Linked DNA regions of Xenopus tropicalis. The protein of the gene in region 1 interacts with the protein of each later gene in a pairwise test. Links are inferred from orthologs where the notes say so. Each region holds a gene or a part of one and is shown on either strand. Other genes may lie near its edges.

Region 1 (4,438 bases):
TTCACATTACCTTATGTTTGGTCCTAAATGTCTTAGTGTAAAGGAGAACTAAAGCTTAAACACACGCTGTATTTTAAATACTAAACTTTCTATACAAGTTCATTGGTTAGGGAATCCAATAACAGAAATGATGCATACCATCAAAGTTCTCCACATTTTAGATTGTTAGGACATTCTTTTAAGTGCCAATGGCACTGCACACACTTTAGGGACCATTTATATGCAACAGTCAGAGGCCCAAGGTACAGCCCTGAGACTGGTGGTAAAGAGAGGGCTGCACCATTTTTGATCTGGCACTCCATGCAGAGATCAACACATCCCTGGAAGTAAGTGCTTCACAGATGAGCACAAAGGGGCACACTCTTGCCCCCTTGTGTTTGCGCACAGGGGTTTGCTAAAGTGTGCTCTGAGCAGCTGTTAAGAAGCAAACTATGGAAAAATACCTTATTCAGAAAACCCCTTGTCCCAAGCATACTGGTTAACAGGTCCCATGCCTGTATCAGTATTACGCTAGTTCACTAGTGCACTAGTTCATTTGCTGTCTTTTAATTCTGAATTATTAGTATTACTTTCAAAATTTTCTTCCATTATCTATGAAGCTACTCTGTACATATACTGTATATAAGTGTTTCCCAACCAGTGACTTGTGGGCAACATGTTGCTCACCAACCCCAAAACAGTTAATTATTTTTGAATTCCTGACTTGGTGGCAAGTTTTGGTTAAATAAAAACTACTACCAAATAAAGCCTCCTGTAAGCTGATAGTGTGCATAGAGGCTACCTAATAGCCAATCTTAGCCCTTATTTGGCACCTCCATGAACTTTTATGATGCTTGTGCTCTCCAAGTGTTTTTACATTTGACTGTGGCTCACAAGTAAGAAAGGATGGGGACCCCTGCTGTATATTATGACTACGTCCCTAAGCTCCCTAAGCTGACTGACAGCAGCCCAGGGCATATTCTGTGATTCAGCAAAAAAAGAAGATGGAAAGAGGCATATTCAGAGGCACAGATCTTCATTGATAAGGGTTGTGCTGGGCTTTTGGCTGGTATGAAATACCAAAACATAAGGTGTAGCATTTTGTAGCCTAAATCTTTGTTCAGCTTTAGTTTTCCTTTAACCACGTATAACATTCATCCTACATTTTACAGTGTCTGTACTTCACTTAGCTTCAGTGGCTCAGTTCTTAAACACTGCACAAAATGGATTCACTTTTATTTACGTTTTTAATCATCTTTACAACCTAGGCAATGTTGCAAAAACCGAGAGAATAAAACACTACATGGTGAGTGCTTTTTGTGTTTTAAATCCTATATATGTTGCTAAGTGGTGATTAAAATTTTTAAATCCCATATATTCCAGTGGCTGAGCAGAGATAAAGGAACATCTAAGCCTGTTAAAGGGACCACTCTCTCAAAGAGATGAAACTGTGGAGAATGGGGAAGCCAAGACAAATGATTCCCTTGACTGTTCTAAGGTCAGATGGTTTATCCCCACAGAGTGTTAGCTGGACTACTTTATATCCAATGTGTATGAAAATGTCAATACTTTAAAGAACTCTCTTGTAACTTTGTGATAGATATAACCCCTTGCAATCAGAATGCATGATATTTTAAGGCAAGTAATTGTAACATGACAAATAGGTGCAGATTAAATATAAAATATATAAAGTTAATCTATAAAAGCTTTAATATTTATGGTACCAAGAGTATATGAACATAGCTTATGAAAGGGGAACATAGCAATGAAAGGGGAAGAACTGACAGAGAAAAATAAAAGTTATTTATGACAAACAAGAAAATCAAATTAACAAATACAATGATGTATGAACAGACTAGCTATACCTTTGCATTCTTATGGACAGGATTTGTTTTGTAAAAACACAATAAAAATACAAAAAGAATTCCTTGGAACACATTCAAATGCGAATGAGCCCAGAGCAGAGTGTTCTTTCCACAAGGACATGGTGACACAGAGAATCACAAGCAGGGACACACATTGACAGAGTCACCTGCCTAAGTTGCTGCTTCATCTATAGACCCCTTTTTGTTTTATTGTCCCTCTAATGTTAATGCTGAGGCTGTTTTATAGCATCCTTTCTTTTAAGCTTTTATAGTTAGAAATAAGTATTTGAACTCCATGCAATTGATTATAAAGAAATGCCACCACTGCTATGTTCTATAAACTATTTTGCAACTTTAGGTTAGCCTTACAGACTTTAAAGCTACAGCACCATACTGACTTTTATTATGGCAGCCCAAGTTTCCATAGTTTACAAGGCTCATCAAAGTTTGAGGTTTTTAAAAAGGTTTTTCTTTTGTGTTTTGTACATAGATATAAAGATGAATTTGTAATAAGGTAATTTCACACACCATCATATATAAAACTGTAATTTTGATACTCATACAATTAAAAGTAGTACAATTAAAAGTGCATGTTGTTGCTATTTTGACTGTGTCAGTCTAATACATAACTCTGTTTCTTGAAGAAGGTTTACCACACACAGAAACCTAAAACAATTTACCTCAGATTATGGGATCTAAGTTAATGGGACCAACCCTGCAGAAATAAACTGATAAGGACCTTCACAAAAATCCCAAAATACATCTCCACCTTTTATCCTCTAATACCCAGAAAATTACCCATATTTGACATAAACATGCAATATAAAACCTCTTAAATGCAAAACATAATTTGCTATAGGACATGAACATTATTTCACAGCACAAAACCTATAAGTCCAGCAACTTTGTTAGTATAGCACAAAACAAATAACATGACTTAAATCTTACAGAATGTTTAAACATTACCTGTCTGTTATGAGAAGTTTCACTTGTAGGATGTTACTTGGACATATGTGGCAGCTCTATGACACCACTGTTACTGCCACTGTCACCTCTCTCTACTTTCTACCTCTCTCTACTTTCTACCTCCCTCTCTTTCCTTTGCTCTCCCTCCTCTTTTCCTCTAACTCCACTCTCCTCCCTCTGTCTCTCGCTGACGATGCTTTAAATCCTGGAAGAGACACGTGTCCAGTAAGTGATGTCTTCGTCTTTCTTCCTCCTTCTAACTTCACTCTATGTTTAATTTCTTTCTATCATACACATGTTTTACCTTTCCTTTAGGTTTACTTTTCCTTTACTTTTTATCTATCTAACTTGGCATTTTTTACAAATTCCCCCTTTACCTATTTTCTTTACTCTTTTGTTCTCTTTTTCTATCACTACTATTTTATTCACCTATGTTCTGCCCTTTTCTTTCTTCTTTTCTTTTTTTAAAATCAGACTCCCATCTTCACACTGTCCACCACTATTATTTCTGTCAGATGTCTCTATACACTCTCACCTGGCTGCCTCTGTTCCTTTCGCTCTCTCGTCGAACCATCATAGTTTATATAGTAATGTCCCGTACCTGTGTAAACACAACCTGTGTGTGCTCAAATCTAACAGGTGCAGGACCTGCCCGCTTAACCCTTAAGTAACACATAAGCAACTAAACATTCCCATACACTTTATTACTTGCAAATTTCATGATTGTTTTTGGTGGGTGGGCAAAGACTATGCATTCCCATTCAAATAGAAATAACAAAAATGTATAGCACAGAAAAACTCGCAATGTTAATGAAGCCTAATGAAAAGAATTTACAGTGACACCTAATAGCTTGAGGGTGCTTAATGATTATCTCATAATCACTATAAATACACATTTGCGCACTAAGCACACACCCTTTCTTTCCTGTAAATTTACTAGCCAAATGAAATAAAGTAACAAAATTCTTGACTCAAAATTATCTGAAATAGAACAGAACACTCAACAACTTCATTAGCCTATTTGCTATTGCACATAGGCATTTTTTACTACAATACTATAGAAGTTAAGAATGACTTGTGCCAGAAATATTGCAGGATAAAATGCCAGTTTAATAAACTGAGATCACCTTTGTGATATCAAAATTTTTGGTGCTCATATATGCTTTGACCTCACTTTGACACTACTGTACACAACGCTTATATAGTCTAGTGCCAAAATTCAAAACAATTTCTATTTCTACACAGGGAATTAAGGTAAATAATGTCACAAAATTTTATAGTGGGTAAGATAAAGTTTAGTTGCTCATAACTTCACAAAACACATACACTAGGATCAATTTCATCAGGAGCTAGTTAACCAATCAGTACTTTTTTAGAGTCAGAGGAGAATGGAGAAAATTCAGTACAATTATGTGAAATAATACACATTACACATTACACAATACACAAGCAGTGTCCTTTCTAAGAATACAATTCAGGACCCCAGAACTACACAGCAGCAGTGCTAACAAATGACACAATACAAATTTAAGTTTGAAAGCATTTTGTTTTTAACAACCAGAGTAATATTACAGAGTACTGCACCTGAGAACTTCATTCTAATTTTTCTTATCCAGTTCTCTTGTTTC
Region 2 (4,603 bases), on another chromosome or scaffold:
AATGTCAGAGCTCACAGAACAGGTTTTAGGATCTACTTATATGATCAAAGCTTGATAAGATTGTCCTTGTCATTGATACCCATGTGCCAATCTTAGGATTTTCAGGTCATGTAGGCAATGTTGTGGGGCCTTGACATCTACCTTTACTTAAATCCCACCACTTTAATATGACCCTCTTGTAGCAATGACTCTCAATCCCAGCAGGGACCTTAAAGCTTTGGCTAAACCACAGCTCCCACAGTCCCCTATGTGCGAACACTCTAAGGGAATGCTGGGAGTTATTACTCAACAATAGCAATATAGAAACAATAGATTTGCGATCTTCCACTAAAAGCAACAAGTGTTTTCAAGTCAATGTCTTATTGCAGCCAATCGTAGGTGGCTTTATTGTCCTTTAGTGCAAGGTATAAGTATTAAATAGCTATTCATCCCGCTACAAGTCCTGTCTAGCTAGATTTCAAGGTATCAAAATTAGTTTTAAAATAGAAAAATATATTATAATTTAGAAAGTCCCAGTAGCCTAAGGATGAGGTCACCAGTGAGGCGTGGGCCACCCTGCCAGGTAATACAGGTAGGGGTAGCAGTGATAGTTCTGGTAAAAGCTGAGGAGTGAAGCTCGGCTGATGTCTGTGTCTCTGCTCCGTACAGGGTGAGCTGAGGACTTCTCTACCTCCTCCATATCAGTGGCCAGCTGCTTCCTCTTGGTCTTGTACCTCCGGTTCTGGAACCAGATCTTTACTTGGGTCTCGGTCAGTTTCAGGCTCTTGGCAAGCTGGGCTCTCTCTGGAGCAGACAGGTACTTCTGGCTGGAGAACTTTCTTTCCAGCTCTATGACCTGAGAGTGGGAGAAGGCAGCTCTGGATCGTTTCTGTTGCAGCTTTAGTTTCTTTTCCACCGGGGATATTGGCTGAGCTTGGTCTAGCTCCACATTTTCATCTGATGAAAGATGAGGAAGGGGAAGAGTCAATAAAAGAAATATATCTAAGAATGATTTGCTATTCTATTGCAAAATATTAGGCTATTAGAAGTATGTATGTATGTATAACTTTATTTATAACGCGCCACTAGGGTATGCAGCGCTGTACAATCTTAAAATATACAGAATTACACACAGGAAGGAAAAGTGTTATAATAAATACAATAAATAAGTATAAATACACAGGGAGTAAGTGCCATGTGGTATGAGACACAGTAGGAAGGAGGTCCCTGCCCCGTAAAGCTTACAATCTAAGTCACCGTAAAGAAGTTCTGTGACCTGAGACCAAAACCTGTAGGCCAGTGCTTCTATACAGGTCACAGAACTCTGAGGGGAATTCTAAATAGGGGTATATAAGTATTTTGTAATAATACACAAGCTTTAATAGTTCATGTTACACAAGTGGAATCACTGAAAGTGCCATTTCTGATGACATCATTAAGCACTATATTGTACAAGACAGCCTTTTGTGTATTATAAGCATAGGCCAGTCTTATTACAAAGATAGGATACAGATATCAGAGACAAGCTGGTCCATAGTCAGGGGCATAGAAACAGAGCATATCCAATAACTACAGGGGGACAGAAGGGCACAGTAGGGGTCCTGACTGTTTTGCATTATTAATATATATATATATATATATATATATATATATATATATATATTTATTTGTAAAAATATGTTTAGCTCCAATTGCTACCTACATATCACTGGGACACATCCCATAAGCATTGCATGGGCTTTGCATAATTCATTTGCCCTAGAAAGATTATTTTGACCTTGTCAATAAGGCTTAATACATTGCTTTAAAATAGGTTCCTTTGATTAATGAGCTACACAATATAAAATGAAGAAGGGGCACGTGTTAACGGCTGTAGTTCAACAACAACAGGAAGTTAGATTTATGTACAATGCTCCAGAAAGCTCTATTCTAATATGAAGTAATAATAAAACCTAATGCAGAGGGTAACCACACATCTTACATTTTAATAAGTATTTCTACATCCTGGACTCCCAACAAGCAGTGTTCTGACCCCTGACTAGGCTTCTAGCGGTGCCACTTGGCAAACATTTGTTTCCACTCTGGGACCCAGCAGGAGGAAAGGAAGTCTTGGCAGGGGATAACTTTATAGCAATGACCTCAATCAGCCCATTTGCAGCTTCAGTTATTCTGTAAAAACCGGGACACAGTGCTAGTAATGTTACCCATTTGTTTGTATGGGTCATAATTAGAACATATGCCACCAAGCTTTCCAAGATAGGGTAACAAGTCAAACTGAGGCTGCAAGGGGAGCTAACCAGCTTAAGCACTATAATACATTGGGGCTAAAAGTAACCTCAACAACTAACTATGTACTCAGCTACAGTATCATCTCATATCTCATATACCCATCACTTGTTACCAGCACAAACCTCCCTACAGGTTCAGGACTACTCATCCCAGCTCATCTATGTGGAATGGCTAAAGGTAAGTTATCCTTCATGTCAATAATCCTGACATATAAACTTTTGCACTGACCTTCCATCTGGCTGTGGTGCATCTCTGCAGGTTGGGACGATGACTGTTGTTTTTCTGGGGTACAGTTCTCCTTCTTGCCCCCCAAGGAAGAATCCTGGTCCTGGTCTGTCTTTGGGGAGTCCAGGCTTTTTTCCTTTCTCCCAGGTCCTATATGTGACAGAATGTCTTGGATGAGGAAGGATTTCAGTGGCTTGGCAGGAAGGGACAGGTCTTCTGTTCCTTGTTGAGACATCCTCGCTAAGTGCTCTGGGCTGGGGTATAAGGTGCCTACCCTGATTGTGCAAGGTTGTCCTGGGTAAAACAGGCTAGGGGAAATAACCTTCTAAATTATGTTTTAGACTTCTGGAATAACAGGTAATAAACAGAAGTATAGAAAATAATAAATGGCTTTTTAGGTGGAGTGTGGGTAAGTTCTATGCTGCTGGCTACCCTAACTTTGCCCACCAATGCGCCTTGCCCTCTGCTCTCTCATCTCTCTACTGGCCTCTCCATCTCCAGTACATATAGCTCCCCAGTATTAAGCCAGCCTTCTTCTGATTGGCCAGGCTGACACCCCTGCCTTCCCACAGACTGCCCCACACAGGTACAGCAGCTTATGTTACACCCAGGGGAGGAATCACCAAATCCTTATCTCCCCTCCCCTGCTGGAACAGCTACTGTGCAAGACACTGCTTGGAAACTTGCTTTGTGCTCTCTCATAAGTCTACCAGTCCCATATATTTATCCAAGTGTATGTATGTGTGTATATATATATATATATATATATATATATATATATATATATATATATATATAGTTTTGTTAACACATATAAAATATACAGCTTGGATGCCATTCACATGCACTATATATATTGGTACCAGAAAGGCAACTGCAGCCACTCGGTGATTATCAGACTAAGCGGGTTTAACTAACACAGTAATTGTCATCATTAGCAGCATAATGGGCTTAATGAGTCCTCAGGCACTGGCACATTAGTGGTTCTCACTCATTCTTGCACATCCATGTACTGTTTGTTTACAGGGTAAACACTTCCTGTTCCATGTAAATCTGCTATGGATTTAATTTGGATGAATGAAGCCAAGCCCAGTGTACTCTCATTGTATATACATACATTCTAGTAAATAGAAGAACCAATGAGGAATCCAGCCAGTCTCCAGTTAATTAGAGGGTTGGCAGGTATCACTCTAGCTACAGCTAGACTACATTTCCCAGAAACCCCTGTCATATACAAAGGTCCCCCCGTGCTCATCCCAAATAATCATTTGTCACATCAACTCTATATTCTGGTATATCATAGTATGGACCATTGGTCCCTGCATACCCTAGTGCAGTTGCAACCCTTGCACCAGAGGTGAAACTATAGAGGGAGCTGTCCCTGTGAATTCTGGGGGGCCCAAGCCAGTGTGTCAATTTAGATTAATAAGAAAGGTCTTATTCACAAAAGGTAGAGGGGCTTAGAATGATTTTGCTGTGAGGTTTAGTAACTTCTCTGTATGTCACTGCCCTGCAATTCATACCAGGTCTGGACTGGGATTCAAAATAGGCCCTGGCGCTTCAAGTATACAGAGGCCCAAACAGCCCCCCAGCTCAATAATGACGCCCCCCCCCCCTGCCCCCACACCGTTGTGTCCTAGGCACATGCTTGAGATTTCCTTCTGCTTTAGCCAGTTGAACTGTTCTAGACTACAACTCCCAGCAATTTCTGTTAGCCAATGATTAGTGAGCATGCTCTGAGAGTTGTAGTTCACTATGTGGAGAAGCAGACATTGTGAGGGTTGGAGACTGACTATAAAACAGCTTGAGTATATGTTTAAATATGTTTTATTACCGAAGTATAGTGGGGTCCTAAAATGATTCCACTAGGGGCCCAGTAACTTGTAGATACCACCCAGAACCCACCCAGTTGCTATTTCTCATGGTGGGAGGGAAAAATTGTCTGCTCGGGTGCAAATGGTTTAGTGCCTATAACATGTATTCATTCCCCAGAATGCTTTTCTGGTTACAGCTATCATTAGTTATTGGCGACAATGGCTAATTATAGTGCAGTTAATTACAGCACCCGCTGCCTGTGCTGCCACACGCTTGGGCACAGACAGCCCGCCAC

Evidence for each region.
Region 2: the proteins of spdef (region 1) and nkx3-1 interact in a two-hybrid assay, tested with the Homo sapiens proteins (2 studies listed by BioGRID). The link is inferred for Xenopus tropicalis from reciprocal best matches to the Homo sapiens genes SPDEF and NKX3-1.

Annotation. Positions count from the first base shown.
Region 1 is NC_030678.2:69,241,174-69,245,611, reverse strand, and holds the start of spdef (SAM pointed domain-containing Ets transcription factor), read right to left. Parts: upstream 2,851-4,438; 5' UTR 2,811-2,850; intron 1-2,810. UniProt on the Homo sapiens protein: May function as an androgen-independent transactivator of the prostate-specific antigen (PSA) promoter. Binds to 5'-GGAT-3' DNA sequences. May play a role in the regulation of the prostate gland and/or prostate cancer development.
Region 2 is NC_030679.2:127,288,831-127,293,433, forward strand, and holds the start of nkx3-1 (homeobox protein Nkx-3.1), read right to left. Parts: upstream 2,981-4,603; 5' UTR 2,729-2,980; coding exon 2,497-2,728; intron 937-2,496; coding exon 533-936; 3' UTR 1-532.